Macaca mulatta: one gene and its partners. The protein of the gene in region 1 interacts with the protein of each later gene in a pairwise test. Links are inferred from orthologs where the notes say so. Each region holds a gene or a part of one and is shown in the gene's direction. Other genes may lie near its edges.

The links.
Region 2: the proteins of PNMA1 (region 1) and SPATC1L interact in binary tests that used the Homo sapiens proteins (3 or more experiments, as listed by UniProt). The two-hybrid records come from large-scale screens. The link is inferred for Macaca mulatta from reciprocal best matches to the Homo sapiens genes PNMA1 and SPATC1L.
Region 3: the proteins of PNMA1 (region 1) and SEMA4C interact in binary tests that used the Homo sapiens proteins (3 or more experiments, as listed by UniProt). The two-hybrid records come from large-scale screens. The link is inferred for Macaca mulatta from reciprocal best matches to the Homo sapiens genes PNMA1 and SEMA4C.
Region 4: the proteins of PNMA1 (region 1) and SNRPB2 interact in binary tests that used the Homo sapiens proteins (3 or more experiments, as listed by UniProt). The two-hybrid records come from large-scale screens. The link is inferred for Macaca mulatta from reciprocal best matches to the Homo sapiens genes PNMA1 and SNRPB2.
Region 5: the proteins of PNMA1 (region 1) and FMNL2 interact in a two-hybrid assay, tested with the Homo sapiens proteins (2 studies listed by BioGRID). The two-hybrid records come from large-scale screens. The link is inferred for Macaca mulatta from reciprocal best matches to the Homo sapiens genes PNMA1 and FMNL2.
Region 6: the proteins of PNMA1 (region 1) and TCEANC interact in binary tests that used the Homo sapiens proteins (3 or more experiments, as listed by UniProt). The two-hybrid records come from large-scale screens. The link is inferred for Macaca mulatta from reciprocal best matches to the Homo sapiens genes PNMA1 and TCEANC.

What each region holds. Positions count from the first base shown.
Region 1 is NC_133412.1:146,883,051-146,888,092, reverse strand, and holds PNMA1 (paraneoplastic antigen Ma1), read left to right. Parts: upstream 1-1,650; 5' UTR 1,651-2,453; coding exon 2,454-3,515; 3' UTR 3,516-4,321; downstream 4,322-5,042.
Region 2 is NC_133408.1:1,395,032-1,400,149, forward strand, and holds the start of SPATC1L (speriolin-like protein), read left to right. Parts: upstream 1-1,884; 5' UTR 1,885-2,096; intron 2,097-2,425; 5' UTR 2,426-2,551; intron 2,552-3,850; 5' UTR 3,851-3,916; intron 3,917-4,217; 5' UTR 4,218-4,350; intron 4,351-5,118.
Region 3 is NC_133418.1:5,528,475-5,532,935, reverse strand, and holds the end of SEMA4C (semaphorin-4C precursor), read left to right. Parts: intron 1-54; coding exon 55-277; intron 278-408; coding exon 409-521; intron 522-2,020; coding exon 2,021-2,178; intron 2,179-2,265; coding exon 2,266-2,336; intron 2,337-2,459; coding exon 2,460-3,289; 3' UTR 3,290-3,831; downstream 3,832-4,461.
Region 4 is NC_133415.1:67,265,893-67,271,110, reverse strand, and holds the start of SNRPB2 (U2 small nuclear ribonucleoprotein B''), read left to right. Parts: upstream 1-1,920; 5' UTR 1,921-2,017; exon of another isoform or gene 2,018-2,352; intron 2,353-3,629; 5' UTR 3,630-3,667; coding exon 3,668-3,731; intron 3,732-4,126; coding exon 4,127-4,299; intron 4,300-5,218. UniProt on the Homo sapiens protein: Involved in pre-mRNA splicing as component of the spliceosome. Associated with sn-RNP U2, where it contributes to the binding of stem loop IV of U2 snRNA.
Region 5 is NC_133417.1:57,534,276-57,538,736, forward strand, and holds part of FMNL2 (formin-like protein 2), read left to right. Parts: intron 1-2,913; coding exon 2,914-3,038; intron 3,039-4,006; coding exon 4,007-4,209; intron 4,210-4,461. UniProt on the Homo sapiens protein: Plays a role in the regulation of cell morphology and cytoskeletal organization. Required in the cortical actin filament dynamics.
Region 6 is NC_133426.1:13,307,098-13,311,558, forward strand, and holds part of TCEANC (transcription elongation factor A N-terminal and central domain-containing protein), read left to right. Parts: intron 1-1,535; coding exon 1,536-1,609; intron 1,610-3,169; coding exon 3,170-4,230; 3' UTR 4,231-4,461.

The sequences.
Region 1 (5,042 bases):
GTGATAAACACCTCCAGCTTTCTTAACATCCTCCCCACACCATCTCACCATATCCATCTCCCAGCATCCATCTGCATTCAGCTAAGGGCGGGAAACTGACCTAGTGCCTGTGCTGCAGACCATTTCTGAGGTCTCCACCCATCCAAGGAGGCAGAGCCATCATTACTGTCCTCCATGCCTTCAGCAGCCCCCCTCACAGCTAAGGTACATACCACCCCTTCTGCCGCGCCCCCTTCCACTCCTGGCACCAAGGTCTTTTGCTGCTTATGTCTAAAGGGATCGCCTATATTTAACTGCCTCAGTGACCTAACCTCTTTCTTCTCATGTGCCAGATGTTAAGATGAAGGAGGAATACAACACATGCTCAAGCCTCAGCTGTTTAGTTGTTTTCACTGGGGCTCGCTTTTCTGGGACGGTATTTATTATCAGACTGGCAAGCCTAACTCCATAGGTTTACAGGAAGTAGGGATATTTTTATAAAACAATTGTGTCCTCCCCACATTTTGCTATGTTAATATTTGCCTCTAACAATTTGCAGCTGTTTCACTTTTTCCTCATTTGTCTCTAAGTTGAAGGCCTTGTTGGAGGGGACAGAGCACAGGAACAGCCTTGACAGTCTGTAATTATTGTACAAATATTTTAATAGCATATAAATAAGTATATTCCTTTTATTTTGAAACAAAAATGATCAGACACTGCCTTTTGTGTGTTTGCTGCCTGTGGCACCCTTTTTGAAAAAGACTGTTACATATTAAAATAGTGTACATACATATAAATATTACCTCTTTTGCTGTACAGTTGTGATAGAGACTGAAGATTTTATTTTTTGTGTGCTTTTTATAAGAAAAAATTAATACACTAAAGAATCTTGCTGATGTGATTGTAATGTACCTATGTAACTTATTTACTTTTGAATGTTCTTCTGTATCTTTAAACCTTTTATTAAATAAGGTTTTAAAAATTCAGAGTTGAATGCTATGTTCTCTCGGGATTTTCACCATCTGGGGTTGATGTAAGTGGGCCTTGTCTTGCTTGCAGGGAGATTACTCGACATTTTTGAGCCATAAGGATTCTCTTTTAGCAGCCTATTGTCGATGCCAGCCAGGAAAAGGAAAATAACACTAATGTTTGCCTGGCTAAAAGATGACTCAGTAGACACAGACAAACAGATGTTTACAAAAGTTTAGACAAGAAAAAGTCTAAACTCAGTATCTCACACAAAAAATGGCGCACTCCGGCTTCATTGGGATAAAATACGCAGGGTGCACAGTGTGGTCAGGGGTAACGGGAAGCCAGGGTTCTGAGGAGAGTATTTTCACGTGCAGGGTGGACTGGCTGGGCAACCCGAGTAGACAAGTCCACCATGAGGGATGCCATGACTTCCAATAGTATCATCTTAAATCCACTCCAGGATTGGGTTATTATTTTTAAAACACGGTGCTTAGCAGTATTTGTTTGCTGTTAAAATGGAAAATTATGAAAAAGGAAATGCGCCATCAGAGAAACAAATGCCCGAGCCCCTCGCTGGCACCATGGCAACCGCTCGACCCCCGCGGGCCGCCGGAGCAGGCGTGATTCGCGCCAGCTGGGGCGCCGTTGCCATGGCGACGCCCGAGCGGCTCCGCCACAGGGGCGGGACGGGGCGGGGCTGACGCCGCTCGCGGGCTGGCCCCATCCTCCACTGCAGCAGTAACGTCGCAGCGGGTTGCGGGTAGGACTCGACGCTGGGGCAGCCGCGCAGCGCCTGAGCCGCTGCAGGCCGCCGCGGCCGCCGCTGCCCACCCTTGCCTGTGCTGTTTCCAGCCTCGCTTCTCCGGCTTTCCTGCTCCTCTGCTGCCTTCGTTTCTGGTCCTCGGCCGTCCTCGCCGCCCGCCCAGAGGAGTCCCCGCGCCCGCCAAGAGGAGTCCCCACGCCCTCCAAGAAGCCGCTCTCCGCTGGCCCGCAGCCGCCGCGACTTCGGCACAGTCTCTCCCTCTGGCTAGTCTCCCAAACGGCCGCTCCTCGCCCGCGGGAAGACCAGGCTGCGACCGCGAACGCCCGATCCTCTCCAGGAGCCGCAGCGAGCGCCCGGCGGGCACGCCCCGCGACCACACCCCGGCTGCTTTCGACCCAGCGCGCCTGCCTTCGCCGCCCGCCCTCGCTCCTTGCCCGCTGCACGACGACGCGACAGCCCGGCTGCAAGCGGCAGACCCGACCGGACCCGGACCCAGACGCAAGATGGCGACGGCCGCGTGACTTCCTCAGCGTCCCCGAGCTCAGCTCCAAGTGTACCTACGGACTGACTGGGGGGGCAGAGAAGGGCGAGATCAGGACTCTGTGTCTTTGTTAGTCGTGAATGCATGAAGCCTACCTCCCTTGGGCCTACTTGGTGGGAGTGTCTGGTATTGTTCTAAGGCCAGGAGTACGGTGAGCCACAGTCTGTTGGTAGAATTGGCGTCTTGATAGTTGAGAAAATGGCGATGACACTGTTGGAAGACTGGTGCCGGGGGATGGATGTGAACTCCCAGAGAGCTCTGTTGGTCTGGGGCATCCCAGTGAACTGTGATGAGGCTGAAATCGAAGAGACCCTCCAGGCAGCGATGCCCCAGGTCCCCTACCGAATGCTTGGGAGAATGTTCTGGAGGGAAGAAAATGCGAAAGCAGCCTTATTAGAGCTCACTGGCGCTGTCGATTACGCCGCGATCCCCAGGGAGATGCCGGGCAAAGGAGGGGTCTGGAAAGTGTTGTTTAAGCCCCCAACTTCTGATGCTGAATTTTTAGAAAGATTGCACCTCTTCCTAGCTAGAGAGGGGTGGACCGTGCAAGATGTTGCCCGTGTCCTTGGGTTTCAGAACCCTACTCCGACCCCGGGCCCAGAGATGCCAGCAGAGATGCTAAACTATATTTTGGATAATGTTATTCAGCCTCTTGTTGAGTCCATATGGTACAAGAGGCTGACACTTTTCTCGGGGAGGGACATCCCAGGGCCTGGAGAGGAAACCTTTGATCCCTGGCTGGAGCACACTAATGAGGTCCTAGAGGAGTGGCAGGTGTCCGATGTAGAAAAGAGGCGGCGGTTGATGGAGAGCCTTAGAGGCCCTGCCGCTGATGTCATTCGCATCCTCAAGTCCAACAACCCCGCGATAACCACTGCCGAATGCCTGAAGGCGCTTGAGCAGGTGTTTGGGAGCGTTGAGAGCTCTAGGGATGCCCAGATCAAATTTCTGAACACTTATCAGAACCCGGGAGAAAAATTGTCTGCTTATGTCATTCGTCTGGAGCCTCTGCTACAGAAGGTGGTAGAGAAGGGGGCCATTGATAAAGATAACGTGAACCAGGCCCGCCTAGAGCAGGTCATTGCTGGGGCCAACCACAGCGGGGCCATCCGAAGGCAGCTGTGGCTTACCGGGGCTGGGGAAGGGCCGGCCCCAAACCTCTTTCAGTTGCTGGTGCAGATCCGTGAGGAGGAAGCCAAGGAGGAGGAGGAGGAGGCTGAGGCCACCCTTCTGCAGTTAGGCCTGGAAGGGCACTTCTGAGTGCCAGAAAAGACAGCTTTAGTGCAGACCTAGATCACAGCTAGTTTTCTTGTCCCTGTGGGGGTCTTACAGATGTGTCTCTGAGTAGTAAAGGCTTAGCCCTGTTCCGTTTTGTTGTTTTTTTGGAGGGGAAGGTTAGTCAGGCCTGAGTATTCATGTAACATTCTAAAATTGTGCAAGCGAGCACCGTGAGCTGCTACAATGCAAGTGGGTCTTGCTGGCTAAAGTGCCAGGTAAAGGGTTGGTTGGACACAGCGCTTAGTGCACGCTGTCATCATGGACATCATAATCAGTTGTGAAAAACACACGAACCTCTGACACTTCCTATTCCACACTGAATGTGAAATTGCATGTGCAGATGTTTACTACGGGGCCTGGCTCACAGGAAGTGTTCAGTAAAAGTATGAACTATTAGATTACTGATAGCGCAGATAGATTTTTCTTTACCATAAATAGTTCCAGATTTATATTGATGGAAGGAAATGTGCATTTATTAGCTATTACTCAACTTTACAATGCAAACATCATATTTCTCATCTTTAAACATGTCGATCAGTTTAATTGAAAAGTATTCTGAGACTGCAAAATGGGGTGTTAAAAAAATACTGCAATTACGGAGCTGTGTAAACCAGTTTCTCATTGCATAAGATACAGATGTAAATTGCATGGAGAGGTTGATATGCACCTGTACAGTAATTCACTTCCCCATTTCAGATCTTTGTCAGAGAATAGTTCTTGTTCATACTGAGTGTTCTAAATTTGAAGTTATATATACAAATTAAAATATTTTAAAAATTCTGTTGTCTTCTCATTTTTCTGGCATGTATAAACATTTTTAGCCTAAGTAAACTCTGTCCTTTTTTCTTATGAAGACTTTGTCATTAAACCATTTATTTTACTCTTAAGCTTTGTATGATACTATGTGAATTTAAATGGCAAGTCCTTTTTTTTCCTTCCCCTCTTGCTGTCATCTTAACATTTTTTTGGTTTATTTTTTAATTTTTTAAATTTTTTATTTTTATTAAGGGCAGAGAGGGTCTTGCTCTGTTGCCCAGGCTGGAGTGCAATGGAGCGATCTCAGCTCACTGCAACGTCTGCCTCCCCCGGATTCAAGTGATTCTCCTGCCTCAGCCTCCTGAGTAGCTGGGATTACAGGCATGTGCCACCACACCTAGCTAATTTTGTATTTTTTTAGTAGAGATGGGTTTCACCACGTTGGTCAGGTTGGTCTGGAACGCCTGACCTCAAGTGATCCACCTGCCTCGGCTTCCCAAAGTGCTGGGATTACAGGCATGAGCCATCTAGTTTTTTCTACTAAAAATACAAAAATTAGCCGGGTGTGGTGGTGGGTGCCTTTAATTCCGGCTACTTGGGAAGCTGAGGCAGGAGAATCACTCTGGGAGGCAGAGGTTGCAGTGAGCCGAGATTGCGCCACTGCACTGCAGCCTGGGCAACAGAGTGAGACTCTTGTCTCAAAAAAAAAAAAAAATCTAGGCCGGGCGCGGTGGCTCACGCCTGTAATCCCAG
Region 2 (5,118 bases), on another chromosome or scaffold:
ACGATGCAGAGGAGTCTGTTCCTTCCCCGTCGGCTTCTCTGGGTGCTGTGAGGGTGACTGTCCCCGATGGCTCATCACCCTGACGTGCTCTTGACAAAGGAGACCACCAAGAGGAGATGGCAGCTGCACCTGTGCAGCCTCTGTCTGAGGGGGATATTTGCCTCAGTGTGATTAAAAATCAAGTTCACTATCCTGAGTAACTCACAAAAAATTTTTGAATTCAGATGATTTTTATCAGGAATAGATTTTGAACATTCTGAAATCTTTTCCCTGGCGTCATATTAGGTTTTCTTTGTTTGCTATGATGTAAAGTTTCAGACTCTTGATGTTTTTAATATCAACATAGACCGTAGGACAAGGAATGGTACCAGAAATAAGTAAAGAGACAATAATGATAAGATCAATTTATCAAGACATAACAACCCTAAATGTATATGCACTAAGTAACAGCTTCAAAATACATGAAGCGAAATGGCAGAATTGAAGAGAATGAGATGAAAACACAATTTTAATGGGAGCTTTTCGTACTTGTCTTAGCAACTGATAAACATGAGATCTATAAGGATAGAGATTTGAACATCAACCAACACAAGCGAGTGGTCTTTGGAGGATACCTCACCTAACAGTGGTGAAGCACACAGCTTTTCAAGAGCTTGGGGCCCATGTGCTAAGGTAGACCATAGCTGGCTCAGGAGCTGAGTGTCAGGATGTCAGCAAGGATGGAAGTCATACAGAGCATCCTTCCCCACCACAGTGGAGTCAAACTAAATTGAAAGTCAGTGGCAAAGGAGCAAAGGCAGTTCGATGGAGAAAGGACAGTCTTCAACAAATGATGCTGAAACAACCAAACTTCATTTGTAAAAAAAAAAAAAAATGAACCTTGACATACCCTTCACATCTAGACACACTCAAGATGAATCAGAGACCTAAATGTAAAACATAAAACTATAAAACCCCTAGAACATCACGTAGGAGGAAATCTAAGTGACCTTGGGTTTGGCAGTGACTCTAGATATGACACCAAAGGCATGATCCACTAAAGAAAACATCGATAGGTTGGGCTTCACTAACATGATACATTTTTGGCTCGCGCCTGTAATTCCAGCACTTTGAGGGGCCAAGGTGGGAGGGTCACTTGGACCCAGGAGTTGGAGACCAGCCTGGGTACCATAGTGAAACCCCATCTGTACAAAACAATCAAAAGATGAGGCAGGTGTGGTGGTGCATGCCTGTTGTCCCAGCTGCTTGGAACACTGAGGTGGGAGGATTGCTTGAGCCTGGGAGGTTGAGGCTGCAGTGAACTGTGATTACGCCGCTGTACTCTAACTTACGTGACAGAGTGAGACCCTGTCTCAATAAAATACATAATTAATTAAAGTTTCTGTTCTGCAAAGAATGTCAAGAAAATGAAAAGACAAGTCAGAGACTGAGAGAATATATTTGAAAAACACAAAGGATCAGTATCCAAAAGAGCTCTTCAAACCCAACAATAAAACAACCTGGTGAAAAAATGGGCCAGAGACCTTAACAGACGCCATACCAAAGAAGATACCCAGTTGTTAAATAAGCATATGAACAGATGTTCCACATCATATGTCATCAGGGGAATGCAAATTAAAACGACCAATATACCTATTGGAGTGGCCACAATCCAGAACACTGCCACCACCAAGTGCTGGTGAGGACGTGGAGTAACAGGAACTCACCGTTGGCGGGAATGCAAAATGGTGAAGCCACTGTTTATTATTATTTTTTTTAATTTCTTTTTTTTCCTTCTCTTTTGATAACTTGAATAGGCACAGCCGCTGTGGAAGACAGCTTGGTGGTTTCTGACAAAACTAAACATACTCTCGCTATCTATCCAGCAATTGCACTGCTTGGTGTTTACCCAAAGGAGTCCACACAAGCACCTGCACACAGAGGCTGATAGCTGTTTATTCATAGCTACCCAAATGTGAAAGCAACCAAAATGTGCTTCCGTACGTGAATGAGTGAGTAGACTTCGGTGCAGCCAGACCGTGGAATATTACTCAGCACTAAGAGGAAATGAGCTATCAAGCCATGAAGAGACACGGAGGACCCTTAAGTGCATATTAGTAAGTGGAAAAGGCAGTTTGAAAAGGCTGCATACTGTGATTCCAACTAGATCACACTCTCGAAGGTAAAACTGTGGAAACAGTAAAAAGTCAGCGGTTGCTGGAGGTCAGGGCCGGGGGAGGGGTGAACAGAGGATTTTTAGGGCAATGAAACTGCTCCGGCCTGACACCAGCGGTGGATAAGGTCATCATACATTTGTCCAAAGCCAGAGAATGTGCAGCCTCGAGAGTGAGCCCCACTGTAAACTGTGGGCTTTGGGTGGTGGTGATGTGTCCATGTAGGTTCATCAGCCGTGACAAATTCTGAGTGTGGGTGTGCGCACTTGTAGGCCCAGCTGCTTGGGAGGCTGAGGCAGGAGGATCTCTTGAGCCCAGGAATTTGAGGCTGCAGTGAGCCGTGATCATGCCACTTGCCCTTCAGCCTGGGCAGCAGAGCGAGACCTTGTCTCAAAAAGGTACCACTTTGGTGCAGGACGTTGATAATAGGGGAGGCTGTGCATTTGTTGGGGCAGAGAGTGGGGAAATCTCTGTACCTTCCTCTCAATGTTGCTGAGAACCTAAAACTCCTCTAAAAACAGTCTTGAAAAAGACAAAAGCACAAAGGAAACCAGAGAATATTTCAAGTTGAAGGAGAATAAAAACATGACATTAGAATTTGTGGGGTGTAAAGCTTGATGCCCGGGCTCCACAACCACAGGAAACGGACAAACTACCTGACAGCCACAATTGTCCGCAAAACGCACATGAGGGAAAAATAGAAACTGTCAGTAGCGTTGTGTCTTTTAATAAATTGATTTAGAAATTTAAAACCTTCCCAGAAGAAATCTAGTTCTAGGTAGCTTCACAGGTGAATTCTGACGTTTAAGAATGAACACCCGGCCGGGTGCGTTGGCTCAAGCCTGTAATCCCAGCACTTTGGGAGGCCGAGACGGGCGGATCACGAGGTCAGGAGATCGAGACCATCCTGGCTAACATGATGAAACCCCGTCTCTACTAAAAAATACAAAAAAAAAAAAAAAAATACTAGCCAGGCGAGGTGGCGGCACCTGTAGTCCCAGCTACTCGGGAGGCTGAGGCAGGAGAATGGCGTAAACCTGGGAGGCGGAGCTTGCAGTGAGCTGAGATCCGGCCACTGCACTCCAGCCCGGGCGACAGAGCGAGACTCTGTCTCAAAAAAAAAAAAAAAAAAAAAAAAAAGGAGGAACACCCAGAAAATGGCATGGAACCCCTGCAGCTGATTTTAAAAGGCCAGTGTTCCAAAGCCAGACCAAGACATCACAAGAAAGGGAGATTCAGATTGATTTCCCCTGTGAGCATAAAAATACTTAAGATATTAATAAATTGAATCCAGTGCTATATTAAAAGGATAATGTGTCAAGATCAGAAAACTGTCAGAGTGTTGATAGGTCCGTGGCTGGAGAGTACGTGATGTCAGGAGAAGGCTTCCTTGGAGCGGGAAGAAGATGGCATTTAAAATATGATGGGAGGAGCCAGGGCAGGAAAAGCCATTCAGGGCCCCGTCGGGCTCAGAGTGGGGGGCGCATCTGTGACTCACCCCTGACTTCTCTCTCTGCCCTGCATCCTGGACATGCAGGGGCATGCCCTCGTCAGTGGGCTGTGTCTGGGCCCCCGTTGTCTTGATCTGAGGTGTGAGCCCTGTGGTGCAGCCAGACGGGTTGGGTTGTGTCAGGAACGCTTGGGGTATGGCAACCTCCATTCTCCACAAAGCCTGACTCGAGACTCTCTCCTGGAAGCAACGTTGCCCTAATGTGGCCGCCCGGGCTGAATGAAGGTGGTGGTCTCCTTGGGGACGTCTGCACGTGAGTGCCCTTGGTGGTCCTGAGTGCCCGTCACAGGGCTGGAGGTGTGGTTGGCCCACTGGGTTGTTGGTGGTCCTGAGTGCCCATCACAGGGCTGGAGGTGTGGCCAGCCCACTGGGTTGGTGGTGGGTGCCCGTCACAGGGCTGGAGGTGTGGCCGGCCCACTGGGTTGGTGGTGGTGGGTGCCCGTCACAGGGCTGGAGGTGTGGCCGGCCCAGTGGGTTGGTGGTGGTGGGTGCCCGTCACAGGGCTGGAGGTGTGGCCGGCCCACTGGGTTGGTGGTGGTGGGTGCCCGTCACAGGGCTGGAGGTGTGGCCGGCCCAGTGGGTTGTGTTTTCTGGACTACGTCCCTTCCCACGAGGATGAGATGACCCTTCTGTTACATCCCGGCTGCTGATAAAACAAGACTCTCGGAGCCAAGAAACAACACTGAGGTGATTTACTTCCCCAAGTAATTGGAGAAGCGGGGAGTCAGGGTGGGTTTCAAGCTGGTCACACTGACCGAGGACAGCGCCTACTCTAGCAGGACCCTGTGAGCCACAGCCCTGCGTGACGGCCCGAGAGGCCGTGGCCATGGGTTGGGGCCGTCCTCAGTTAGGTGCAGGCAGGAGCAGTGCAGTCAGGAACAATTGGTGTCTCAGACATGGGCGCTCGTGGTCCGAGGGGTGGACAGGCACTGCTGGACCCTTCTCATTGGGGAGTGAGGTCAGCAGGTGGCCTCCAGCCCAGCCCTCAGGGCCACCCAGCGCCCCTCAGCATGTGGGGCCAATCGTGGGGCCCATGGTGGGGCTGCCCCAGGCTGGTCTCCTCCCCAGGGTGGTCTCCCTGCCAGGCCGGTCTCCTCCCCAGGCCAGTCTCCCCCTCCAGGCCGGTCTCCTCCCCACAAGACTGGTCTCCCCCCAGGCTGGTCTCCCCCCAGGCTGGTCTCCCCCCAAGACTGGTCTCCTCCCCAGGCTGGTCTCCTCCCCAGGCTGGTCTCCTCCCCAGGCTGGTCTCCTCCCCAGGCTGGTCTGCCCCACAGGCTGGTCTCCCCCCCGAGGGTGGTCTCACCCCAAGGCTGGTCTCCCCCCCGAGGCTGGTCTCACCCCAAGGCTGGTCTCCCCTCCAGGCTGGTCTCCCCCCCGAGGCTGGTCTCACCCCAAGGCTGGTCTCCCCGCAGGCTGGTCTCCTCCACCAGGCTGGTCCCCACCACAGGCTGGTCT
Region 3 (4,461 bases), on another chromosome or scaffold:
GCTGCGGTGCCATCCCACCCTGCTGATGGCCTGCCCCCCATATCCTGCCCCCAGTGCATTAACAACTGGCACCGGCGCCACGGTTACACCAGCTCCCTGGAGCTGCCTGACAACACCCTCAACTTCATCAAGAAGCACCCGCTGATGGAGGAGCAGGTGGGGCCTCGGTGGAGCCGCCCCCTGCTCGTGAAGAAGGGCACCAACTTCACCCACCTGGTGGCCGACCGGGTTACAGGACTTGATGGAGCCACCTATACAGTGCTGTTCATTGGCACAGGTGGGTGCATGGGTATGCAGGCATGGCTGCTCGAGGCTGGGCAGAAGCCCATGTGCCCAGGGCAGGGAGATTTGGAGCTGCCCCACAGCCCTGTGCCCTGTCATTTACACCTTCCCGTCTGCACCCCTCAGGAGATGGCTGGCTGCTCAAGGCCGTGAGCCTGGGGCCCTGGGTTCACCTGATTGAAGAGCTGCAGCTGTTTGACCAGGAGCCCATGGGAAGCCTGGTGCTGGCTCAGAGCAAGGTAGTGAGTTGGGCCCTATCTGCCACCGTCCCCAGCACTGTCCTTCTCGCTCTGTCTGTCTGGCTGCTTCTCCCAGTTGGGCCTACATGCTTGGCCAGTGCAGAGTTAGGAACACACACACGCATGGACGCACACCTTGCCTAACCTGGGGTGGGTTCCTGGAAACGAGAATGAAAACAGAATGGAATCTGCGCTGCACGGGGCCATTATATACAGCCAGGTCACGAGGCCGCACTCCCAGCATCAAGCCTTGGTAACTACTCCCATGTTTCCTTCAGACCCTCCAAGCTGTGCTGTGGTCCTGGCTCTGGCCTCTTCCCTGACCATGCCCCTGTGACCAGACCTCCCAGCCTGTGAGATGTTTATGACGCCTTCACCATGGTGGTTTCCTTCCAGCCCCCAGCTGCTCTCTGGTCCCCGCCCTCCATGTCCGTGACTGTTTCCCTGAAGTGCTTGCATTATATCCTTGTGCAATACTCCTTTTGGTTTCTTTTGAGTCGGAGTCTCACTCTGTCACCCAGGCTGAAGTGCAGTGATGCGATCTCAGTGCACTGCAACCTCCACCTCCCAGGTTGAAGCTATTCTCCTGCCTCAGCCTCCTGAGTAGCTGGGATTGATTACAGGTGCCTGCCACCACGCCCAGCTAAAGGTTTTTTTTTGTTGTTGTTGTTGAGATGGAGTCTCACTCTGTCGCCCAGGCTGGAGTGCAGTGGCGTGATCTCAGCTGATTGCAACCTCCACCTCCCAGGTTCAAGCAATTCTGCCTCAGCCTCCCAAGTAACTGGGACTACAGGCACATGCCACCATGCCCGGCTCATTTTTGTATCTTTAGTAGAGACAAGGTTTTACCATGTTGGCCAGACTGGTCTTGAACTCCTAACCTCAAGTTGGAGATTTGCCCACCTCAGCCTCCCAAAGTGCTTGGATTCCAGGCATGACCTGCTGTGCCCAGTTGCCTTGTGCAATACTCTTGTGGCATGTTTACTACACCTCCTGAACTTTGATTTGTTTGCCTTTTACCACCTATTGTGACTCAAAATTGTCCCCCAGAACATGGAATAATGGCAGAAAGAAAGTGTGTGGTTGAAGAAACCCACAGATTGGCATCCACTGTTGAAACAGGAAAACATCTTATGTTATGCTGCTGCTGTCGTGAGGGCTGATGGGCCTTGAGAGAAATGTATTTCCCGCACTAATGTGTGTGAGTGTGTATGATTATACTTTTTGGCCTCACAGCCCCACATCTCTTTCTAATAAGGTCACGTCTCTAAGGGGCTTAGGATTGCATCTGGCCTGCGTAAGCCCTTTGCGTTCTGCAGTTCTTAGAGTTCCCTTTTCAGCACTACAGCTCTGCCTCGTTCCCTTGTTCCTCCTTCTGGTGCCCCGTCCTGTGCCCCCTGCAGAAGTCCAAGCTGTCCCCGTGCTGCGTTCTGGTCCGGCCGCCCCTCCCACGGTGTGGCCCTGGCTGACCCCCCTTCTGCGCCCCGCTTCTCTCGCAGAAGCTGCTCTTTGCCGGCTCCCGCTCTCAGCTGGTGCAGCTGCCCCTGGCCGACTGCATGAAGTACCGCTCCTGTGCAGACTGTGTCCTCGCCCGGGACCCCTATTGTGCCTGGAGCGTCAACACCAGCCGCTGTGTGGCCGTGGGTGGCCACTCTGGGTGAGTTGGGCTCTACATAGACCAGGACCAGCAGGGACTCAGGGTGGTTGGAGCCAGGCTGCTGATGTACCCTCCATCCCCTACCAGATCTCTGCTGATCCAGCACGTGATGATCTCGGACACTTCAGGCATCTGCAACCTCCGAGGCAGTAAGAAAGGTGAGCTTTTTCATTCCCCTCGCATCGGGCTGAGCCCGGACCAGAGCTGGAGTTTCTGTTCTCCTCTTCCCTAGCCCCGCTTTCCTGTACTAACATGCACTCTCTTTTTCTCTGCCACTACAGTCAGGGCCACTCCCAAAAACATCACGGTGGTGGCGGGCACAGACCTGGTGCTGCCCTGCCACCTCTCCTCCAACTTGGCCCATGCCCGCTGGACCTTTGGGGGCCGGGACCTGCCTGCGGAACAGCCCGGCTCTTTCCTCTACGATGCCCGGCTCCAGGCCCTAGTTGTGATGGCCGCCCAGCCCCGCCACGCTGGGGCCTACCACTGCTTTTCAGAGGAGCAGGGGGCGCGGCTAGCTGCTGAAGGCTACCTTGTGGCTGTCGTGGCAGGCCCGTCGGTGACCTTGGAGGCCCGGGCCCCCCTGGAAAACCTGGGGCTGGTGTGGCTGGCGGTGGTGGCCCTGGGGGCCGTGTGCCTGGTGCTGCTGCTGCTGGTGCTGTCACTGCGCCGGCGGCTGCGGGAAGAGCTGGAGAAAGGGGCCAAGGCTACTGAGAGGACCCTGGTGTACCCCCTGGAGCTGCCCAAGGAGCCCACCAGTCCCCCCTTCCGGCCCTGTCCTGAACCAGATGAGAAACTTTGGGATCCTGTCGGTTACTACTATTCAGATGGCTCCCTTAAGATAGTACCTGGGCATGCCCGGTGCCAGCCCGGCGGGGGCCCCCCTTCACCACCTCCAGGCATCCCAGGCCAGCCTCTGCCTTCTCCAACTCGGCTTCACTTGGGGGGTGGGCGGAACTCAAATGCCAATGGTTACGTGCGCTTACAACTAGGAGGGGAGGACCGGGGAGGGCTCGGGCACCCCCTGCCTGAGCTTGCGGATGAACTGAGACGCAAACTGCAGCAACGCCAGCCACTGCCCGACTCCAACCCCGAGGAGTCATCAGTATGAGGGGAAACCCCCACCGCGTCGGCGGGAAGCGTGGGAGGTGTAGCTCCTACTTTTGCACAGGCACCAGCTACCTCAGGGACATGGCATGGGCACCTGCTCTGTCTGGGACGGATACTGCCCAGCACCCACCCGGCCATGAGGACCTGCTCTGCTCAGCACGGGCACTGCCACTTGGTGTGGCTCACCAGGGCACCAGCCTCGCAGGAGGCATCTTCCTCTCTGTGAATCACAGACACGCGGGACCCCAGCCGCCAAAACTTTTCAAGGCAGAAATGTCAAGATGGGTGTTTGTCCGTATTTGCACGTGTGTTTGTGTGTCTGTGTGTGTGTGTGCACGTGCGTGCGCGCTTGTGGTATAGCCTTCCTGTTTCTGTCAAGTCTTCCCTTGGCCTGGGTCCTCCTGGTGAGTCATTGGAGCTATGAAGGGGAAGGGGTCGTATCACTTTGCCTCTCCTACCCCCACTGTCCCGAATGTCGGGCAGCGATGTACATATGGGGGTGGGGTGGGCAGGGTGCTGTGCCCCTTCAGGGGGAGTGCAGGGCTCGGGGTGGGCCTAGTCCTGCTCCTAGGGCTGTGAATGTTTTCAGGGTGGGGGGAGGGAGATGGAGCCTCCTGTGTGTTTTGGGGGAAGGGTGGGTGGGGCCTCCCACTTGGCCCTGGGGTTCAGTGGTATTTTATATTTGCCTTCTTCCTGTACAGGGCTGGGAAAGGCTGTGTGAGGGGAGAGAGGGTGGGACTGCTGTGGATAATGGCATACTCTCTTCCAGCCCTAGGAGGGGGGCTCCCAACGGTGTAACTTATTGTGTCCCCGCGTATTTATTTGTTGTAAATATTTGAGTATTTTTATATTGACAAATAAAATGGAGAAAATGAAACGATTTCTGTGATGGGGCTAAGATGTTTGGGCTAAAGCCCTTCTGGGTACCGAGAGGGAAAGCTCTCTGGGTGGAGGGAGGCTGGACAGGACCTCCCCCACAGTCCCAGGGCGGCCACCACTTTTGTGGTCCCTGCCTGCCTGCCTGTGGGAGGGAACAGCCCAGCTCCAGTGTTTTCCCACAGTGGTGGCTGCGGCGCTGGGAACCAGACCATGGCCACAGCCCCTTGGGAGCCAGCTTTGGCTTCTGGCCAGAAGGAGAAGTCAGGGCACTGGGAGTCCAGGGGAGAAGTGGAG
Region 4 (5,218 bases), on another chromosome or scaffold:
AGAAGAACCTGGAAAAGTGCATGCAGACCATTGCAGCTGAGTTGGCAATGGATGATTTGCTTCTCACAGTGTAATGTACAATAGCTGTAATTTAATTGTTAATAGAACATGATATGCAGTCTGTCTTCAGGCCTCTGTGTTTCCTGTGGTATTTTCTTCTAGGTTGGAGTGTCTTTGCATAATCACATCTTATTCTCTTTTAACAGTTATCAACTCTTGGCTAGATCCCCTTATATAATAAAGAGTATAGTTTATTCTCAGTAGTTTAGCCATCCTCATTATCAACAAATAGAACTAACTGTTGAGATGCTCATACTAATACGCAGAATAGCTTGTCCTTTGTTATTTAGAAATTGTTTACATTAAGTTTATATTCTCTTTTAATTTGTTAAAGATATAATTCTTTGACTGAGATAGGAATTTCTCATTTATTTCTTCTTATTTATTTATTTATTTATTTCAGAGATGAGATCTCACTGTGTTGCCCAGGATGATTTCAAACTCCTGGCCTCAACCAGTCCTATCTCAGCCTCCGCAAATGCTGGGATTACAGGTGTGAGCTACTACACTCAGCCATTTCTTGTAGTATTAGATCTATATAATAAAAGGATGTTTTTCTGTGATCCCTTAACATTTTCTACACTCATCTGCATGTTCAAAGCATATTTGTTTACTGTTGCCTAGTTTTCCATGTCAGTCATTCATTTATCCAATACATATTAATTATCAGTCACTATTCTCATTACTAAGGGTACTTGAGTGAACAGAGCAGACAAAATCCCCACCCTTAAGAAGCTTATATTATTTTCAAGTTGTTGCAACTTTAGGTGTTTTTTAAAAAATAAAAATTCCCAGCTGATAAAACTAACTTATTTGACAGCTACCTGCCTCACCAATATAACCAAGTTATAGCCAGAACTCAGAAATAACATTTTTGAGCCTCACCAATATAACCAAGTTATAGCCAGAATTCAGAAATAACATTTTTGAGCATTTATTTTGTGTCTGGTAATGTGCCAACCACTTTACATTTATTTTAGCTCATTTAATGCCTACAACAACTAGAAGGAGATACTATTAGGATCCCTATTTTACAGACGAAAAGAGTGAAGATCAGAGAGATTAGTTAAGCAGAGGGTACAAGATTAGGTTCCACTTGACTCTTAACAACCATTTCATATTCCAGGTGATGCTTTACAGACATCTGATGAATGGATGAATGAATGAAAGCATGGGAATTTTTTTGGGAATTCCCATTCAGCTTGGCATAAATACTAACTCGTTAGACTACCCTAGAAAAATCTAGACTTTTTGTGGGAAGAAAAGAGTGGGAAGGGTGGTAGGGAATTATTTTTTCGAGTGAGTTGAGGCAGATGATCTTACAGATGATTGGGTTCTACTCAGCATGGTTGCCTTATCTGGTGAGAGATGAGAATTGGGCAGACACCAGTTCTGTTTGCCCTGGGCCCTCAAACTGGGTAGCCTCTGAGATTCAAGTTCATCAGCAGAGTGTTGGAGGACAGTTCCTGCAGAGCCCCAGGAATCAGAGGAGACTTGGAGGCCGGAGGAACCGGCTATCCTAAAGGTGATTTTAAACCGGGGCAGCCAGAGCCCAAAGAAGGGCGAAACCAGGACTAACTGCCCCGTAGCATGAGAGGCAGAGCCTGTAAAATTACATAGGATTTGTAAAGGTGGAAGGCACTCTTGCGCGGGGCAAAGCTTCGCAAGGTCGTGGTAAGGGAAATGATTCACTCTTCTTCCCTATTCCCTCGCAGCATTGTCCCCACAAACCCCGTCCCTTTCCCCATTTCCATTTCCGGACTCTTCTCCTGCCCGCAGGGCATACGCACGCGCAAAGAGATTACCTACGGGCCGCCAGAGACCAGGAAGCATCGATCTGCTCTGCGCTCGGCTTGTAGACTTGTGGGCGCTCGATTGAGGAGCGTGGCAACGTTACTTCCGGTGCCTGGCTCCGTTTCCTGCTTTTGGTTCTTACGGGAGACTGCGTAGGCCTTAGGTGGGTTCGTGCACCTTTTACCTCGCTGTTTCGGTTTTCCTGGCTCCTCGGCCCTTCTCTCCCCTGTTGCAGCTGGGAGCGGACGAAGCGCGAAGCTGGGGTGGGGACGCGTTTGGCCCGGATTTGGATCTCGGAGTACCCGAGTAGGCTGGGGGCGAGGAAGAGATGGGAGACTGACTCAGGGGCCGGGCATCGCGTGGCAGCTCCCTCGGACTTCGTTAGGGGGCCTCGGGCGAAGGTGCTTGTGTCTGGAGAGGCGGGAGGCTTGCGCTTACGAAGTAAAGGATAATGTCCGTCTGCTTGTGCGAGGCGCTGACAGTTCACTGCGCTTTCAGGTGTCTTCCAGCGGTTTCCTTTTGGTAGTGGCGGGTAATTCAGGGTGCCCCTGTAACAGTCCAGCCCACGATCAAACCTCGCATGAAACCCCGCAAGAGCCTCCCCTTTGTCCCCCTACCTTCAGTTTGACCTCTGCCTCAGTCACTTCCCTTTCGTCGTCTCCTTTGTGACCCTTGCCGCTTCTCCAGATTTCGATTTAGGGGGTCCCAAGGCTTGGAGAAGCGTTATGTTTTACCTGTTACCTGCACAAGTGCAGCCCCTGCTTGTAGGCTCTTCCCTTGTCAATCATCCAATGCTATTCACGTACAGTGGATGCTCCGTAAATATTTGTGAGATAAAGAAATATGTGGGGCACACAAGGAAATCAAGCAGCTTCACAGTTTGCAAGTAAAAACCACGTTAAAAAAATGCAATAGTGTGGTGGACGAGGAAGAGAAGTGTAGAGGAGAAAGCAAGGGCTGAATTTCCAGGCTTGATGCTTATTAGCTGTGTGACCTTAGGCACGTTCCTTAACTGGTAATAGCTGTTAATAATAGCTACTTTAAGTGCTTACCGTTGATGCAAAACTGTGCTAGAACTCATTTAGTCTTCTGAGTTCGGTTGGGTAGGTTCTGTTACCATTCTCATTTTACTGATGAGGACCTGACAGATTAAGGAACTTCCCTCAGGCAAACAGCTAATAAGAAGCATAAATAGGATTTGAATTCACATATGGTTGGTACTAGAATCTGAGTTTAACGGTCATGCCACACTGTTGTCATTGAGCTCCCTTCTTTCAAGTCGGTTAGAGGTAACCTTGGAGTCCAGACAGCTTGGTGATACTGTATACAAATTAAGTAATAGGTATGGAAGGACTTTGTAAGTGCACCCAAGAAGTAGTTGGCAAACTCCATTAATGTCTAACCTTATGATTTTCACTGGATGTACATTTGCTACTTGGTCATTTTTCTTCAAATCTACATTTTAAATTATTGAGGAGGTGGAAAGAAAATATCACTTGTCATAAGTGAAAAGTAAGTGTGAAAATAAATGTGTTGAATTAAATGATGTTACTAAAATCTGGCTAGGTATTGGTGCTCCAAGTTTTGAGCATGAGAAACTCTTCTCCTTTTGTATGAAAAGGAGGGCTAGTAGGTGCTGGAGGTACACTAAAGGCTTCAGCCAAACTGACATCATCTAACAATTGGGATTGAAAGAGAAGTGAAAGGTTAATAATTCGTGTGTTGTGTCCTTATGCCACAGTCCAGTATAATTTACTCCTTCCTTTTTATAACAGATTTTTTACTGTCTCCTTCTGAAGAATTTAACACAAACATGGATATCAGACCAAATCATACAATTTATATCAACAATATGAATGACAAAATTAAAAAGGAAGGTAAGTGCTTTTAAAAATACTTGTTCACTACTAAAATGTGTTTATTTACTACTGTCTTAAAAATTGTATTGCCTCAAAACCTCTTACCTCGTCGTCTTAGTGCCTGAAATAATGGTTTATTCCATTACCTATAGGGATTTGAAGACTTTTAAAAAACAAAAATAGGTAGGAATTGACAGTGTGTACAGTCTGTTTCTACTCATAGATATAATGGTTTCATCTGACTTATAAAATTACATATAGCCAATGGGAATAGTATATGTTTTTATAAACATTAAATATATATAACTATAAATAAGTGAATGGTGGGGAGGCAACTCAATGCAGTATCATTTTATGAAGACTTTTGTCATTATCTTATTACCAATGACTTGTTTCTTTTCTAATTTGGACAGAATTGAAGAGATCCCTGTATGCCCTGTTTTCTCAATTCGGTCATGTGGTGGACATTGTGGCTTTAAAGACCATGAAGATGAGGGGGCAGGCCTTTGTCATATTTAAGGAACTGGGCTCATCCACGAATGCTTTGAGACAGTTACAAGGATTTCCATTTTATGGTAAACCAATGGTAAGCCAATTCTATTATTTCACTTTAATCAAGAAATTAATGATATTGATGGTACAGTAGATTTGTAAATATGCTTGAAACTGTGGCTGTTGCTTTCTGCTTTTAATTACGTGTGTTTGGGTTTATGTGTTTTTATAGAAAAACAATAGCAGTAGAGTTTAATTTATGACGGTTAAGATGGCTGAAAACAAAATACATTGAGATGTAGAATATTTAAAAAAATAATGGCAGTCTAGGCAATAGTCTTATCTCAAAAAGTTAGAAATTAATAATAACCTGGAAGACTTGAAAAGAAACCTGTTTGTAAACTTGTAAAACATTACAAAAGTCAGAAGCTAAAGGGGAAATTCAGTCTGAAGTTTTAGAAAATGCTATAGTGAAATACTATATGTCAGAAGCTACACAGTCTAGATGAAACAGTGATCTAAAGAAAAATGATAGGTTCAAACTCATAGGTTTTAGGAATAACAATGGAAATGAAATTGTTTGGAGAGTTTTAAACTCAGGAATGACATAATGAGATTCACATCTAGCTGCTGGATGAAGGTCGCATTGTGGGAGGGACAGAAAGGAAGTGGGAAACTCAGGAGGCCCTTGATGTAAATCAGAGATGTAGAGGATTAGATAAGGGTGACCACAGAGTGTGAAGCAAGGGATTCTCTATGTCTGAGGGAATATACCGTACCTTGGGTGTGGATTCCAAACTGCTTTTTTTCTGCGATTAGAATGTGATGTGAAGGAGTGTTGGACAAAAAACCAAAGGCCAGGGTTTAGAGGAGCTGGGTCTTCATTCTGGTTGTACTGTTAACTGGCTCTGTGCATGGGTCAGTTTTACCACCTCTGAAGTGTAAACAAAGTGGTTCTTTGGTCTAATGCAGGCATCAGCAAAAACTGTAAAGAAGTACCTAATACTTTAGGC
Region 5 (4,461 bases), on another chromosome or scaffold:
GGTCACACTGTGCCTTGACATCTTTCCACTCCATTTTGCTTTGATCCATTGCATTTTGACTTTGTGTCTGCGGGAAGTGTTGGTGGCGGCTGATGATGATTCCAGGTTTGCCCACACATTCTAGTTGAACCTACACAAGAGATTATTGTCCTTGAAGAAGACATCCTGGATTCACATGCCCTCTTCCATTCCCTCTGAGGAAAGTTTTTTTTTTTCCTTCTTCTTTTAATTTTTATATTTGTATCTGAGGCTTCAACTCTAAAAGGATTTTAGATCTACTCTAGGGAGAAAAGAACAAAAGAAAAGGTGCCAGGTGCCCCTTTTCCATTCCCTCCCTCATGCTAGTCTCTGGCCCACTCCAGGGAGCACTCACCCGCCTTTGGCCCAAACCGTGGGGACACAGTGTGTCCAGTGGTCACCTGTGTGCCTTCCTTCTCTTCACTCCCACCCTGGTTAAAGCCAGGTAAACCTTTCCAAGGAGGAGAACTTTCTTGCCTGTGTTCTGATCTCAGGCTTACTCCTGACCTTGCTAAACAGTTAGAAGAGTGGTTGCAGATGGCAAACCTCTAGCGAGCGTCATGAGCCTACCATGTCCGTGGGAGGAAGGTAGGAAGCCATTGGCACCAGCCTGTCACCTCAGGTTATGAAAAGACTCCTCTGCAGCCCTTCCGCTGCTCCCCGATCCCCGACATTACCGAAGTGCCAGAGGCAATGCAAGAGCAAGTGCTAGAGGAAAGTCTGTTCCTTTGTCCCGTTGAGAACATCTGTTTTCCTGGGTAGTGGAGACAAAATGCTGTATGGTGAGGAATCTGACACTGGGGTAGTGGGGACAAAGGTGTCACGTTTGGTGGTGGAGAGGCCTGGTTTGGCTAAAGCTGTGTCTGTTTTTCTGCATGCTTTTGTGTGGATTTATCAGATGACATTCCTGCTGTTTAAATGGCCTTTGTAACTCTGGAGGAATGAGAGGCACCGTCTGTGTCAGTTAACGCCAACTGAGGCAGGCAAGCAGGCAGGCAGCCAGCTACAAGCTTAGTCGTGTGTTGCTTTTATTTTGTTCTGCACTGAAGCACTGAAGTTCTCCTGCCTGTCTTGCTAATAATGACAAATAGTGAAGCTCCCAAGTAGTGTGATGGGCTACCCAGGACAGACTGATGAAGCTGAATGGATATGGCTAAATGGTTTGGGAAGACTTCTTTATGATATATAACAGATAAATATAATTTTAAATGGATTACCTTTTTTGGCATATTTCCTCACAGTGAGAGGAGTTGGCACTCCCCATAGTCCCTTAAAGATACATCCCATTTTCTCTATTAAGAGATTTTCAGTATTTTTAATGAGTGTATCAATACCTCCTAGTCAAACACAGGTGACTCCTGGGAATAACTTGCTTTTCAAAAAGAAGGGCAAGGGACTGTGGCCATTTCTGAATCTGAGAATCAATACAATTTCTAGATTGCTTTCTTTCTAGATTTCTTTTCCTTTCTTTCTTTCTTTCTTTCTTTCTTTCTTTCTTTCTTTCTTTCTTTCTTTCTTTCTTTCCTTTTTCTTTCTTTCTCTTTCTTTTTTCTGTCTTTCTCTTTTTCTTTCTCTCTCTCTCTCTCTCTCTCTTTTCTTTCTCTCTCTCTCATTCTGTCTTTCTTTTTTTTTTTTTTTTGAGATGGAGTTTCACTCTTGTTGCCCAGGCTGAAGTGCAATGGCATGATCTCGGCACACTGCAACCTCTGCCTCCCGGGTTCAAGTGATTCTCCTGCCTCAGCTTTCCGAGTAGCTGGGATTACAGGTGCACACCACCACAATTGGCTAATTTTTGTATTTTTAGTAGAGATGGGGGTTTTACCATGTTGGCCAGGCTGGTCCTGAACTCCTGACCTCAGGTGATCCACCTGCCTTGGCCTCCCAAAGTGCTAAGACTTTGAGCCACCATGCCCTGCAATTTATTTTCCTTTTTTTCCCCCCTTTTATTTATTTATTTTTAAGACAGAGTCTTGCTCTGTATTTACCCCTTTTTTTGTTCTGTCGTCTTAAATGTTTTCTTAGGCTGGGCAAGATGGCTTAATCCTGTAATCCCAGCACTCTGGGAGGCCGAGTGGGGCAGCTCGCTTGAGTCCAGGCGTTTGAGACCAGCCTGGGCAACATGTGAAACTCTGTCTCTATAAAAAATATAAAAATTAGCCAGGCATGGTGGCACACACCTGTGGTTCCAGCTACTTGGAGGCTGAGGTGGATGGATTGCCTGAGCCTGGGAGGTCAAGGCTGCAGTGAGCCATGATTGCGCCACTGCACTGCAGCCTGGGTGACAGAGCAAGACCTCAAAAACCTATTTTCTCATTAGGCCTTTCATAGCCCTTAGTCTGCTTAAAATAACTCAGCAGCCAATATATCAGAATCACCCACGGGAAGGTCTTGCCCTGGTGGAAAGTCAGCCTTCATGACGTTATACTCCTGGTAGTCTAGTCAGCCACTATCTGCACTCCCTGATCATCTTCTAAGGTTTGTTTGTAAATATGTGGTCCACAACCAAGAATTTAGGATGTCCAAATATGGCAAGTTTTTGCCCTCTTTGCTATCTAATAACATGAGTAATAATCTTTGCTCTCCAACACTTTTTATTTGTCCCAACCATCGTCCTAATATTGTAACTGTAATGCAGCAAATTAGTTGCCTGAGTTAAAAAAAAAAAAAAATCAACCCTTGGCCCTTAGACGGCTTTTAATACAATCAAATGATGACCTCAACTGGCTCTGGCCGAAGCCATGTGTGTTGTTTACCAGCTTTAAACACCTACTTGCGCGCCTCTTGCCAACCTTCCTCCAGTGTTAAAGTGTCATCTGCAAGGACTGTTGTCTGATTGTTTCTGAGGGTCGTAGGCTTTTGGTGGGATCTTAATTCCATTCTCTTTGATGTCTTTAGCTGTGAAAATTAAGAAGCCAATCAAGACAAAGTTCCGAATGCCAGTGTTTAACTGGGTTGCTCTGAAGCCCAATCAGATCAATGGCACAGTCTTCAATGAAATTGATGATGAGCGAATTCTGGAGGTATTTTTCTCATTGGTTAGAAACTAGAGGTGCACTCTGTGCAGCAAAGCCAACATGGGTGTTTTGTTAACCTGGAAGTGTCAGAGATAAAGTACTAGTGTTATAAGTCCCTTGATGTAAAGAAGAAACAGATATGTAATATCGGAGAAAAACATTTGACACTATTTTGTAAGGTGGCTCTAAAACTGTGTTTAAAGAGTTATGTTAAATTGGAATAAATGCTTTTGAGCATTTTCAGTGTATGCCACAGAATATAGATCTGACATAATAATTCCTTCCCTTAATTGAGAGAAAGACATAAAAACTTTCAGACTGTAAGTGAATAAGAACTCAATTACCACACTCACTGCCTTATTTGATAGATAATTTTAATCTGTGGCAGCTGTCTATGCAAGCTAATTATTGAAAAGCAATTGAATTGGTGGGTTAGAATCGGTAGTCTAATGTTCACTTTTTTATTTTTATTTTATTTTATTTTTTAATTATTATTATTATTATTATTTGAGACGGAGTCTCGCTCTGTCACCCAGGCTGTAGTGCAGTGGTGCAATCTCGGCTCACTGCAACCTCTGCCTCCCAGGTTCAAGCAGTTCTCTGATTAGCCTCACAAGTAGCTGAGATTACAGGCATACACTACCACGCCTGGCTATTCTTCGTATTTTTAGTAGAGAGCGGCTTTTACCATGTTGGCCAGGCTGGTCTCAAACTCCTGACCTTAAGTGATCCACCCTTGGCCTCCCAAAGTGCTAGGATTACAGGCATGAGCCGCCACACCCAGCCTATGTTCACTTTTGTGTATGTGCCAGAATTTGTACTCTAACAAAAACAAGAAAAATAGAGCAAGCCATGGCCAAAGACAAGTACTTAATAGAAAAAGTAATGTCTTTGCTTAAGAAACTAACTGGTGGCTTCCAGACTTCATTTTTAAATATAATCCAATTTTCCATGGTCATTCCTCTCTACCTTAGGATTTAAATGTGGATGAATTTGAGGAAATATTCAAGACAAAAGCCCAAGGTCCTGCCATTGATCTTTCTTCAAGCAAACAGAAGATACCACAGAAGGGATCAAACAAAGTGACATTACTAGAAGCAAACAGGGCCAAAAATCTTGCCATAACTTTAAGGAAAGCTGGAAAGACTGCTGATGAAATATGTAAAGCTATTCATGTGTAAGTTCAGGAAAATTATATTCTAGTTAGTTTATAATAAAATGAAAATGAGAAAGTTATGAATTAGTAGATGACAAATATTTCAATAGTGAGGCAAGAGCTAAGATAAAAGCTGGAGCAATTTTTGATATCCATACTTCAGAGATCTCCTGAACTCTGTGTGTGCTACTTCAAAGTTGCATATGATGCCAACACGAAAGAGGTGGACCAGAAATCACCCTGGGGAGTGTTGTGTTAGAACGAGTAACTAAT
Region 6 (4,461 bases), on another chromosome or scaffold:
AAGGAAGTTAAGCAATATTTGACTCAGTTCAGAATTTCTCAACTGAAGGTCTGACTGAGTTTCAAGGTGATTCTTAAAGGGAATTGTAATTATAGCTTTGGGGTTTCAGTGGAGTGAAAGCAGTAATTTGTCTTACCGGCAAAATGAGTAAATCTATAGAAGTTAATGTATTTATGTATAAACAACCAAAGCACTTTGCTCTTCATTTTATATGTTCTTTTATTGACCTTTATATTTCTTTAAAAATTTTTAATTGTGATAAAATATACAAAACATAAAATTTACTGTCTTAAGCTCCCCCCCCCCCCAGCTTTTTTTTTTGACAGAGTCTTGCTCTGTCACCAGGTTGGAGTGCAGTGCACAATCTCAGCTTACTGCAACCTCCGCCTCCCGAGTTCAAGCAATTCTCCTGCCGCAGCCTTCCAAGTAGCTGGGACTACAGGCGTGCCCCACCACGCCCAGCTAACTTTTTGTATTTTTAGTAGAGATGAGATTTCACTGTGTTGGCCAGGATGGACTCGATCTCTTGACCTCATGATCCACTCGCCTTGGCCTCCCAAAGTGCCGGGATTGCAGGTGTGAGCCACCACGGCCAGCCTGTCTTAAGCCCTTTTAAGTATACAGTTCAGTAGTGTTAAGTACATTCTCATTCCAGAGGGAAAGTAGGTAGAAGGTGATTGATTCATTGCTCATACCATTTTTCAGTAGGTATATCTTAAATGTATATAGTTTATCATGAAATTACATTAGACTAATAACTTTTCTGATTATGAAAACAATACACGCTCATCACAGAAAATACAGAAGAGGAAAAGAACAAATGAAAATTACCTAAAATCTTGCCATTCAGAAAATGCCCCTCTTTAAAATTTTGTGTAACTCTTTTCAGTCTTTTCACATGTAATTCTTAAATAAAATTTGGATCAGATTCTATTTTTAAATAACACCTTTATTCAGATGTAGTTCACACATCATACAATTCACCTAAAGTGTGTAATTCAGCGTTTTTTAGTATACTCAGTTGTATAACCCATAACCACAAATAAATCAACTTTTAGAAGATTTATTTGTGCCACCACTCCCCAAGAAAATCCCTGAACTTTATCAGCTGCTCCTCCTTCTTCACCCTGCTGCCCTTCTGCCCCACCCTACCTAGTCAACAACTAATCTATTTTCTGTCTCTATAGATTTGCCTGTTTTGGACATTTCATGTAAATAAAATCATGCAATATGTGGTGTTTTCTGTCTGGCTTCTTCCGCTTAGCATAATGTTTTCAAAGTTCATCCATGTTGTAACCTGTATCAATACTTCATTCCTTTTCATGGCAGAATAATATTCTGTTGTGTGGATAAATCACATTTTATTTATCCATTCATCAGTTGATGGACATTTCGATTATTTCCCATTTTTGGCTATTGTGAATAATGCTGTTATGAACATTTGTGTACAAGTTTTTGCGTGGACATATGTTTCCATTTCTCTTGGATCTGCTGGGTCATGATAACTGGTTTATTTATTTATTTTATTTTTTTAGACGGAGTCTTGCTGTGTCGCCCAGGCTGGAGTACAGTGGCATGATCTTGGCTCACTGCAAACTCCGCCTCCCAGGTTCATGCCATTCTCCTGCTTCAACCTCCCAAGTAGCTGGGACTACAGGTGCCTGCCACCACTCCCAGCTAATTTTTTGTATTTTTAGTAGAGACAGGGTTTCACCATGTTAGCCAGGATGTTCTCAATCTCCTGACCTCGTGATCTGCCCACCTTAGCCTCCCAAAGTGCTGGGATTACAGGCGTGAGCCACCACGCCCAGCCCATATGATAACTGTTTAATCTTTTATATAGTTTTACATCTTGATTGTTTTTCACCTAACTTTATGACCATTTTTCCATGTCATTAAATATCTAAATACATGATTTTTAAATGGTTATATTATTGTATCTAAGGAGTGTGCCATATTTTTAACCATTCTCCATTTAACCATTTGAGGTCCTTCCAATTTCTCCTTAGAAAAAAATTCTTACATATGCAGTCTCCACATCTCTCATTTCCTTAAAGTAAATTTATGGAAGTTGAATTACTAAAAGGTCATTATGTTTTATGTCACTTGTCAGATGGTGTCTGGGAAGATTGCATGAATTCTCTCTCTAAACACTTCAGTGTTCTTAGCCTGTGCATGTTCAGTGGTGATTATTTAACATCAAGTGCTATAAAACAGAGCCCATGGATTTTTGAAAAGACACAGTCCCTGCCATCAAGATGCTTATGTTCACATCTAGACCAGACAGATAAATATAGATCCAAGGGTATTATATAGACAAGATTATGTACATTATGTGGAGAGGAAAAGGTAGACTGCTTAGATAAAGTAAACGTTTGCCTGCCTAGGATGAGATTCACACAGACATAATCATTGAGCAACTTTTTACGCTTAAAAGTTTTTAAAAAATTAACAAAACCAAAATGTAGGAACCAGTTAGTCTAAAGTCATAAATCATCTGGATCATTGAGTCTGAACCTTTCCCTTGTTCAGGAGACTTCTGAGGCAGCACAGTGTAGCCTGTTGGCTTTTGGGACCCGCAGACGTAGCTCTAGCTGCTTTTCAACCTGTGCTGTCTCATGGTTTCTTTAGATTGCTTGAGACATTAGCAAACCCTTTCTGTCTTGTTTCTTACTCTTTTATATTCAGAAGAGTACCACTTTAAAGATTATGAAATGAGCAAGTAGTTCAATTATATAGCTGACTCTGGGGAAAAATTGTCTAGCACTGTTCAGCATTGCCATATTGATGCTGACACTGGCATGATTTCATCTCCAGCATGACCACCGGATTCCACCCAAATGGATTGACTACTCTAGAAAGATCATTGATTTGTAAAATTGGAGATGGAAAAGCTATAGCAGATCCCCTGGCGAGCCTCTTAAGCAGATGTTATGTAGAGGCTCTGCAATACTGTTTGTTTATTTTTCACTAGTAGGAATTAAACTCTTGAGAGTAAACCATACCACCTTAAAGACTCCGTTTTCTAGTATGTCACATACATTTGTATTACATGACTCCTTCAGAAAACATTGCCTAGGTTACTGACAGAAACTGCTATTTTCGTATCCAGAAGCTGCGACTAGCAAAGGCAAACTTAAGAAAACTGAAACCCCTTTTTTCTTTGCAGCTGTAAAGATGTCTGACAAGAACCAGATAGCTGCCAGAGCCTCCCTTATTGAGCAACTGTTGTCCAAAAGGAATTTTGAGGATCTTGGCAACCACCTTACTGAGCTAGAAACAATTTATGTGACTAAGGAACATCTCCAGGAGACAGATGTGGTGAGAGCTGTATACAGAGTCCTCAAAAACTGCCCCTCTGTGGCTTTGAAAAACAAAGCCAAGTGCTTGCTATCAAAGTGGAAAGCTGTTTATAAAGAGACTCACTCCAAAGCGAGGAACAGCCCTAAATTATTTCCTGTGAGGGGTAATGAAGAAAATTCAGGACCTTCTCATGACCCAAGTCAGGATGAGACACTGGGCATCTGCAGCTCAAATTCTCTATCTTCCCAAGATGTTGCAAAACTCAGTGAAATGATTGTGCCTGAAAATAAAGCCATTCAATTGAAACCTAAGAAAGAGCATTTTGGGGATGGTGGCCCTGAATCCACTGGTAAGAGATTGAGTGAGTTGCTGGATCCCATAACACCCATGAGAACTAAATGCATAGAGCTTCTTTACGCAGCTTTAACTAGTTCTTCTGCAGATCAACCCAAAGCTGATTTGTGGCAAAACTTTGCAAGAGAAATTGAAGAGCATGTTTTTACCCTTTATTCAAAGAATATAAAAAAATATAAAACTTGCATCAGAAGCAAAGTTGCCAATTTGAAGAACCCCAAAAATTCTCACTTACAACAAAACTTGCTCTCTGGTACCATGTCTCCACGAGAATTTGCTGAAATGACTGTCATGGAGATGGCAAACAAGGAACTGAAGCAGTTGAGAGCCTCCTACACAGAATCTTGTATCCAGGAACATTACCTTCCCCAAGTAATTGATGGCACACAGACAAATAAAATAAAATGCAGACGCTGTGAGAAATACAATTGCAAAGTCACTGTAATTGACAGAGGAACACTTTTCCTTCCCAGCTGGGTGCGGAATTCAAACCCAGATGAACAAATGATGACTTATGTAATTTGTAACGAATGTGGGGAGCAGTGGTACCACAGCAAGTGGGTGTGCTTTTAACTGTAAATGAGTGTTCTCTTAACAAATAACCTGAGTGATTGATACCTTTTATTTGTACAACCCTTCTGTGCTTTTAAAAATCTTGTACACACTACTCTCTAAAACAGAAGAAGGAGGAAAGAAAGTCGTTCCTGAAGCTGACACCACCATCCCTAAAAGTTACAGTTTGGGGAGAGGGAGTGGATGACTATTTGTATTGTGCCTTGTGGCCATTTAATACCTTACTGTAGA